Linked DNA regions of Rattus norvegicus. The protein of the gene in region 1 purifies or fractionates together with the protein of each later gene. This does not show direct contact. Links are inferred from orthologs where the notes say so. Each region holds a gene or a part of one and is shown on either strand. Other genes may lie near its edges.

Evidence for each region.
Region 2: the proteins of Pld1 (region 1) and Arf1 purify together in Homo sapiens (affinity purification with western blotting; 3 studies listed by BioGRID, with this or other methods). This does not show direct contact. The link is inferred for Rattus norvegicus from reciprocal best matches to the Homo sapiens genes PLD1 and ARF1.

What each region holds. Positions count from the first base shown.
Region 1 is NC_086020.1:112,820,884-112,825,189, reverse strand, and holds the start of Pld1 (phospholipase D1), read right to left. Parts: upstream 3,015-4,306; 5' UTR 2,831-3,014; intron 1-2,830. UniProt on the Homo sapiens protein: Function as phospholipase selective for phosphatidylcholine. Implicated as a critical step in numerous cellular pathways, including signal transduction, membrane trafficking, and the regulation of mitosis.
Region 2 is NC_086028.1:44,511,038-44,515,497, forward strand, and holds the start of Arf1 (ADP-ribosylation factor 1), read right to left. Parts: upstream 2,958-4,460; 5' UTR 2,914-2,957; exon of another isoform or gene 2,622-2,913; intron 1-2,621. UniProt on the Homo sapiens protein: Small GTPase involved in protein trafficking between different compartments. Modulates vesicle budding and uncoating within the Golgi complex. In its GTP-bound form, triggers the recruitment of coatomer proteins to the Golgi membrane.

The DNA.
Region 1 (4,306 bases):
CCACTTGTCTTAGATTCTCTCTAAGAGAAAACCTGGCATTGCATGTTTCCAGGTCATCAGCTGAGTCGTAAACTGCCTGATGGGCCTGGGACATCCCCAGCACCTTGAATGGAAGCCAGTGCAGGATAAAAATTAACCAGCTCGAAGCTCAGTTTGAGATATGGTGTCATAGAGACGGTCAAGTGCTGATATCTGCTCACCGTGCACCAAAGGAGTAGTAATGTAGGGTGTGCCAGACCTGCCTGTCAGGACAGTGAGAACTACGTGACTCTTGTAAAGTGGGAGTCCAGATGGTTCGGAGAGTCCAGCCCTGGTTCTTAGAGATCAAACAGTCATAGCCTTCATACACCTTATATTCAGAGAAAATGTATTTTTGTGTGTGTGTGTATATGCTTTGGGAAATCCCCTAAATCTGGCTTGTAGGTGGTTTCCCACTTATAACATTCTGTGTCGTTTTGTTTATTTCTATTTCCACCAGAGATATGTTATCAGTGTGTGTCATTGCTAGGTAGAAAAGCTCAGAGGCACATTAGAATAAGTTGATTTTTTGCCAGGACACATAAGCAGTGTGAGTTTGTATAAATTTTATTCATACTTAGCACAGATAAGTGACCAGTGAGTGAAATAGCTTTTATATTTTTCTTTAAAACCATCAGCGATCAGATTGATAAATGTTCCCCTTTAAGATTTAAATGAATAGCATTTAGCTGGGCATGGTGGCATAGATCTTTAATCCTAGTACTCAGGAGGCAGAGGCAGGAGGACCTAAATTTAAGGCCACCTTGGTCTATGTGGTGAATTCCAGGATGGCCAGGACTATACAGAGAGACCCTCTCTCAAGCCTTCCAAAGGCACTTAATAATTAATAATTAGGCAATACCACTGCTGTATGCAGTGGAAGCATACACATGGCAACACCACAGTCATATGTATGCAGTGGGAGCATACACATGGTAACACCACAGCCGCATGTATGCAGTGGGAGTATACACATGGTAACACCACAGTCATATGTATGCAGTGGGAATGAACAGATAGTATACATTTAAAGTACAGCAAAGCAAATATAGAGGTGAATGCTAGCAGGAAACCACTGAACTGAGAATAGGAACCCCTTTGGGGGAATTAGGGGAAGGATTGAAAGATCCTGCATCCCCATAAAAACAACAATGCCAACCAACTAGTTTTTCCAGGGACTAAACCACTACCCAAAGGACTAACCCAGGGCTCCAACTGCATATGTAGCAGAGAGTAGCCTTGTTGGGGTACCAGTGGTAGGGGAAGTCCTTGGTCCTGTCAAGGCTGGACTCCCAATGCAGGGGAATGTCGGGGCAGGGGGTGGTGGTAAGGGGAGTGGATGGGGAGGTAAACACCTGTATGGGGGAGGGGCAGGGGATGGGGGCTTATAGACAGGAAACCAGGAAATGGAATAACATTTGAAAAGTAGATAAAGAAATATATCTAATAAATAGAAAACAAAAAAAAATAAAAATAAAGTACAGCAAAGCTAGAGCGATCTTTGTCTCTTTTTAAGAAGGCAAAGTTGTCTGGCAGATTGGAGGTTAAAGGACTTATCTGGGGAGGTGGGGAAGTTACAAATAATGTAACTGTGCTATGTCTTTGGGTGTAAAGTCCACTGTCATAATCAGAAATGGCTTGCAGCCTTCACTTTATATGCGCGCGCGCGCGCGCACACACACACACACACACACACACACACACACACACACACAAACACATGAATGCACAAACACTTCTGTCTCCCTTTTCCCTCCATCCTTAAAAATAATTAAAAGAAAAAGATGATAAAACAGACGCTGACGCACTGCCTGTCCTATGGGACAAAAAGAGAAGAAAATGGCAATAGTAGACACATAATAGCATATATTAGTATATTTTAAAACATTCGTGTATCCATTTGAACTGATGCAGCTTACATATACGAGGAAAGAGAAGCCATAGTTCCTATGAAGCACACATTTTGAAACAGTGTCAAATGGAGCCCCCCTTGTAGAGTACTCTCGTGCCAGATGGCTCCGGGGCAAATGAACAGAGGCACAATTACTCCCCAGCTCTTTAACTTGGGGAAACTGAGGGAGCCATTCTCTTAATTTTATTGGCATCATTTCTTTATTATTATTATTAACACTACTTTCGTGTCTTACACATCACACTCCAATTTTACAGGCATATTTATTTTAGGGTGACCTCAGTCTAGGGAGCTACTTGAATAAAAACAGCAACGGACCCAGGAGGAACTGAGTCCCCCCTGAGCCCACCTGGATGCTTCACCCACACCAGTCATTCTGTAGGTATTTCACAGGACCGTCTTTGAAGTAAAAGTGACATGACATCTAATCAGCTGGAACTCAGAGGAGTAGGCCCCAGGGAAAACCATATCCAACAAGTGGAGTGCAAGATGGGTCTTGCTAGAATGCAGCACACCACTTAGCTCGAAAAATAAAATAAAATCACCATGCATAAAATCAGAGTTCTGCCTGACTGTACTAGGAGGACATAGAGTCATTACAAAAAAAAAAAAAAGGAAGTTAAAAAAAATGCTTACAAACCCTTACAACCCTTTAAACTACGACTCCAGCACACGTTTGCTCATTCCTCTTGGCTCCTCCATTTGGTTTGACAGAAAAAGTATCTTAGTCAGAAAAAACGTAACCACTCCCTCCCACCCCAGCCCCGCAGGACCAACCGAATCAAAAGTATTCTTTTCTAACGAAGCAATAGCACAAGCCTTCTCCTATCGTCGCCCCATCTCCCTGATGGCACTGAAAGAAAATCTGACACAAAACAGAAAGTTCAAAGCGTTACTAACCTGGGGCCCCTGGCAAAAAGCGGCGCTCCATTTTACTCTAAAGAATGAATTCTTCCTATGAAGCTAATGTCCAAAGCAGTTGAAAGTCGAGATGGGGGGAAATTGGCTATCCTACAAATCCACAAAAACAGGGGAAGCCGGCCTGTTCCAAAGCTCAACTTTGGCAGGCTCCCTAAGGAAATTCAACTGGGTCAAACCCACAGAGCACTTTAGCCTATAAGCTTCAATAATGAACTCAAACCACGCCCCATATGCTAAATAGACGCTCCGCCGTGAGAAAAGAAAAGCCACACAGAATAGAGTTAAGGCTTCAGTTTTGCACTTGTTGCCCAAGAAAGCCAGAGCACACACTTAAACAAAGAGAACTGTGATTCACTTGTGTCCCCTAAGACACTGCACTAAAGGGGCTGATTCACGCTAAACAAGGGCAGTACAGTCTCCCCTCCACCGGGGGCCATGAAATGACTTTTTCAAGTGTTGCCTAAGTTGGGTGCCGATCCTGAAGCATACAGTACTGTAATTTAAGACTGTGTCGGAAGATGTACAGCATTATTGTCTCTGAGAGTCAAACTCATACTATCGCTAGCTTTGCATTTTCCCATAATATAGAACAAATTTAAAACTTCATTACAAATGCCCAAATATTAATGTAGGTCACGAGGAAAGTCTGTCAACAAACCTTCTCATGTTAGGTCTAACTTGTCTGAAAGTCTGTAAGTCAGCTTTCTTTATATCAGTTCATCACTTAAGATACATTTGTAGGATAAAAGGGGGTATTTTCCCTCCGAAGGGACCAAGATAATGGCTCAGCAAGAAAAGGGGCTTGCTGCCAAGCCTGATGACCCAAGTTCAAAACTTCAGGACCCATAGGGTGAAGGAGAAAACCATCTCCTAGGTGTCGTCCTCTGATCTCTACATGAACACATACACTTAGACACATGTGTACTCACAAAAATATTTTTTAGAGACAGTTTCCCTGTGTTACCAGCCTTGGCTGTCCTGGAACTTAACTCTGTGTATTTATAGAGATCCACCAGTCTCTGCCTCCCAAGTGCTGGGATTAAAGTCATGTACCACCACACCTGCTTAAAAAGAGATTTTCAAATGCATCGTCTTTTAATAACATATACCCTGGTTTCAAAATAAGCAATGTAAATTTACTTGTCGCTCTACAAAAATGTAATTGGTAAGTTTTTCCAAATGACTAAGCCCTGAAACACAGTCAATAGAGTCCCGACATACTGCTCAATTTGGCCTTTCAACATAACACACTCACAATAACTACAACTGTCCCCTGTCTTTCAACCCCAGGAATAACATTAATTTCAAAGGCTTGCTATTTTTTTTTACACAAAGTTCTAATTTATTTAAACAAGTCTACTTTAACATAAAAATCTAGATTTCCTCAATAGTGTAACACAATCAAACAGGGCAAGGGAAACCTGACTCATTCACCGCCAAGCAGAACTTAGGTGC
Region 2 (4,460 bases), on another chromosome or scaffold:
TATCAGGGCTTGCAGGGAGTGCCACTGTTCCTATTCTATTGGCTGCTGACAGACTACCAAACTGTTGCCACTTTGAGTAAAAAAATCAGTAAAGAGGATCAGAGTGTGTGGAGGCTGGGTTCTAATCTGTCTCACCACTATCTGTGTAGCAGGACAGGGTGGTGGAACTCGGGTGACCACCTAAAAGGTCCCTCTGGAAATAAAGAGACTGGGTGTGCCTCCACTAACAAGTTTTCCAGCTTATCAAGTCACTTGACCCACCAGAGAGGGCTGTTACCTTTCAGACATTGACAAACTGCACAAGCTATTATCTGTAATCTGTATCACAATCAATACTGGACACAGACCTTGGTGTGTAATGAGGAATCCCAATGTATACACACTCCCACCCCAGCTACCTTTAGCTTCTCAGTAGGCAGTGTCAAATCTTCAATAGTAGATTCAGCATACACAAAAAGATGCTCTTGCTTGTCAAGATTTCGAATCAAAGAAATTTTCATTTTTCTCTCCTCACCATCTCTAACAATTTCATGAATATAAAAGCTCAAAGGGATTCAAGAAAGCCAACAGGGAAGAAAGACCATGAATGACATAGCAGCCTAGAGCACGCTGGGTCTAATGGGACTCACTGATGGCTCCTCAGTGCAAATGACATAGCCCTTGTGATTAAGAGTAGATTTAAACCTGTGTATCAGAGCCAGGAGGTGGTAGCTTATGTCTTTAATTCCAACTATGGAGGCAGATTTCTGAGTATGAGGCCAGCCTGGTCTCAAGAGGGAGTTTCAGGACAGCCAGGGGACACAGAAAAACCCTGCTCATCAATGTAACATTTAATTCTAAGAATCTGAAAGAAAAAAAAAAAAAAAAAAAAAACAACTTGACCCAACACTTTCAAACCATTGTAACAAGCTATTGCATGAACTTGCACAACAAGTTTTTTCTCTTGGTTAGGCTTCCTGACACTGTGTTACCATAGCAACTGCTTGTCTAATTTACCTTTACATTAAAAAAAAAAAAAAAAAAAGGTGTTTTGAAGCCTGTCTGGTCCTGGGCAGAGGAAGCAGCCCATTGGAGTGAAGATTGTGGACATCCATTCTACAAGGTGCAAGAGGTGTAGTGGACATCCCAGCTGCATGATTTTACAATTAGAACTGTGTGTGTGGGGCACAGAACTAGTTATTGCTACTTTCCTCTCAGGATGAGTAGACTGAGTATGAGTCAGCTGTTATTCACACTGTCTTAAACCTTGTGTGCAGTGCTAGAGACCAAACCAAGACTTCATGCAGGCTAGAAAAGCACTCTACTATTCCGCTCCTAAACCTTTTTGAAGTAGCAATTCTGTACATCTGCCTCACAAACAAGAGAACAATGTGATGATCCAGTGACTCAGACCCATTTTCAAACCTAAGGCTAAGTGATCGACATTCCAATGAGGGAAACCTTTATGCTGTGGAGACAATGTAACTCCAACAATGTAGCTCCCACATCTGCGATTGGCCCTTGACCACAGCAGAAACCAGGTAGTAATACTGTGCATCAAATCTCACAGTCTAGGCTATTTCTAATAGCCCTGCTAAAAGCTCAAAGGTGAGGACTTTACAGTCACCCATGTCAGACACTGTAGATACTGGTTAAGACAGTGGAGAGACATGAGGCCAGCACACAAAGCACCATGGCATCTCACCATTCTGACAGTCACAGCAGAAAACACCAGAATCAGCCTGCAGGAAAAACTGCTGACCACTACTACTTGTGAAACAAGAACTACAACAGACTACTCCAACATGGGTTGTGGCATCAACTACTGGGCCCTCCAGTGACTTCTGGGACCAAATGCAGCTGACCCTTCCTTTCCTGACAAAGCAGCCACTTGCTGTTTGAATGGGAGAATTCCTTCTTGATGCAAGCAGATTCCCTGGCATTTAGTGTTTGTTATATGTGGCTAGACCACATAACATATGTACATTACAACCTGACATGGCATGACCATCCTGAATAGACAGCCAGAATCCTGTACTGGATCTGGCCTCTGTACCTGCATATTGCTCAGAGGCTGGGAGCAGGTTATTCCATGGGCAGGTTAAAGATTCTCCAATTCAGAATGGCCTTTTCTAATCCACCAAAAGCATAAAGGGAGTCAGCCAAGAGGCGAAATAACGCTCAAACCCCTCCAGAGGCCACTGGGCTCTAGAGTGCAGACCCCATTGCAGATCTCATCGAGGGTATGCGGGGCCAAATCACGGCTAATTGGGGATCACAGTGGGCATTCTGGGATCCCCTGAGATCCGAATATGTGTTAAATCCCAGCACCCGGTCATCAGTTCCGAGTCCCTGTCCGACACCTGTCCCTTTCCCTTCCCCCTTCCTACAACTTCGGTCCTCTAGGCCGACAGGAACAGGACTCGAGAGACAGAGGAGGAAGACCTCGACACCCGAGTGACCTTGACGCCGTCTCAGGGCCACCCGAGCCTCAGTTTCCCCAGGCCCAAGGCTCATGCCGTTTCTGAAGCTGCCGGTTAGCCTTTAAGAAGGGAAACTCCGTGACCCCCGAGCCCTGCTCCCCGCAACGGGCTCCCGGGCCGTGGAGCCTAGGAAGGGCGCAGAGAGGAACAGCAGGAAACCTGGCTTCCTGGAGAAGAGCCGGCGTCCTGGCCGGACTTCCGGGCTGCGGCCCGCGGCGGGCGGCCTGGCGTAAGGGCCGCGGAGTGGGGGAGGGCCAAGCGGCCGTGGGCGACGCGGGACTTGGGGGCGCCCTGATCTTCTGTCCGGCCTGCCGCCGAGCCCACTGAGCACAGACCTCAGGCCGCCCGACCAGACTCGGTCCTTAGCAGCCGCAGCCGAGAGCCCCGCGATTCCCACGATGACCAGCCCGTGGCCTCCCCAGCTTCGGCCTCAGAGAGCCCCGCTTCTCACCTCCGCGGCGGCTGCTCCCAGCCAGGCGTTGGTTTCGCTCCCACAAGATGGCGGCGCTGACGGCAGCCACGTCAGCGCCTGCCGCGGGGCACGCCGGGGGAAGAGGGCGGGCACGCAGGAGGCCCCGCCCCTTCACGAATAGCGCTTGCGCGTCTGCACCCTGACGCCTTCGTTGGGTGGAGCCAAAGTCGCTCTGTTTCCGGATCGGGTCCCGGGCTAGCACACCGGCTCCGGAGATTAGAACGCGCAAGGGTGTGGTGCATGGATTTCCCTGTCCTACGGCGCGTGCGCACGCGCATCTTCCTGCGGAATTCCAGCCCATTCCGCGGATGCGGGGGTTGAGGCCAGTAAGCGTTCTAGAGCGCCAAGGTCAGAGTGGGAAGGTCGTGTTACCCCTGGGAGTGTGATGTCCTTCTCAGAGTACCCCAGGGTCTCTGATACTTCAGCTGAGTCGGGGCATTGAAGAGAATGATGTAACAGACAAATGGCCAAAGTGGGAAGAAGCACAGGCCAAATGTCAGACAAACACCATGTCCCTACACTCGTCTTGGACCCGTGTGCACACTCAGAGCTGACTGAGAGGACTAGAGACCTGTGCGGGCATAGCACTGCCTGAGAGGCTACTCTGGGTTGCCCCTAATGGGGTGGCCTCCTTCAGGGTGCAGGAGAGAAGGTGGAATCCGTTAACTCTCCCCATCTGTGCTGGAGTGAGGCCCAGGTTCTGTCCTCCCTGTCCAGTTCTTCCACTCCATGTGCTGTTGTGAGGACTCCCACAGGCAGGAGATTTTGAGGGACTTAGGAGATTCTTTTGAGCCTGGAGCCTTATCTATTGAGTTGGCAGGAGGCAATTGTGTTGCCTGGGCTTACTTCAGCCACTGTTGTGTCAAGACACAGGGTGCAGGGCATCCTCACTGCGTTTGCGGGTTGAGACCTCTAGAACCCTCCCCAGAGTTGTGAGCCTGCCAGGATTCTATGCAATAATCACCTTCTTGACCCTAAACGCATCCCTTTCCATCACTCAGGGCTCCATTTTTAAATGCTGCTTCTGTAAATTTCTCTGGGGGCACCTGCCTGTTCTCTCCCACCCTCAGCACACAGCAAGTGTTTGTGAAAAACATAAGGTGGTGCTGCCTATACACACCCTGGAGAAATGGCAGGACGTTTCCAGAGGCCTGAGATTTCAGCCATGTCAGAAGCCTGTCTTAGCCACTTCATGGATAAGGAGACAAAGAAATGGGGTGTCTAGAAAAACCACAGGTTCATCAAGAACCAAACTCCCTTTCTGTACCTAAAAAGGCAAAACTGAAGAAGTAGAGACAGGGTGGTAGTCCTCTTTATCCTAATGTCACCCCTATACATTGTAGTCCTACTCAAAAAGTCACCTGTAGGGGCTGGGGATTTAGCTCAGTGGTAGAGCGCTTACCTAGGAAGCGCAAGGCCCTGGGTTCGGTCCCCAGCTCCGAAAAAAAAGAACCAAAAAAAAAAAAAAAAGTCACCTGTACCACATAAATAATTATTTGTGTCAGCTAAAATTTAAACAGCCATTG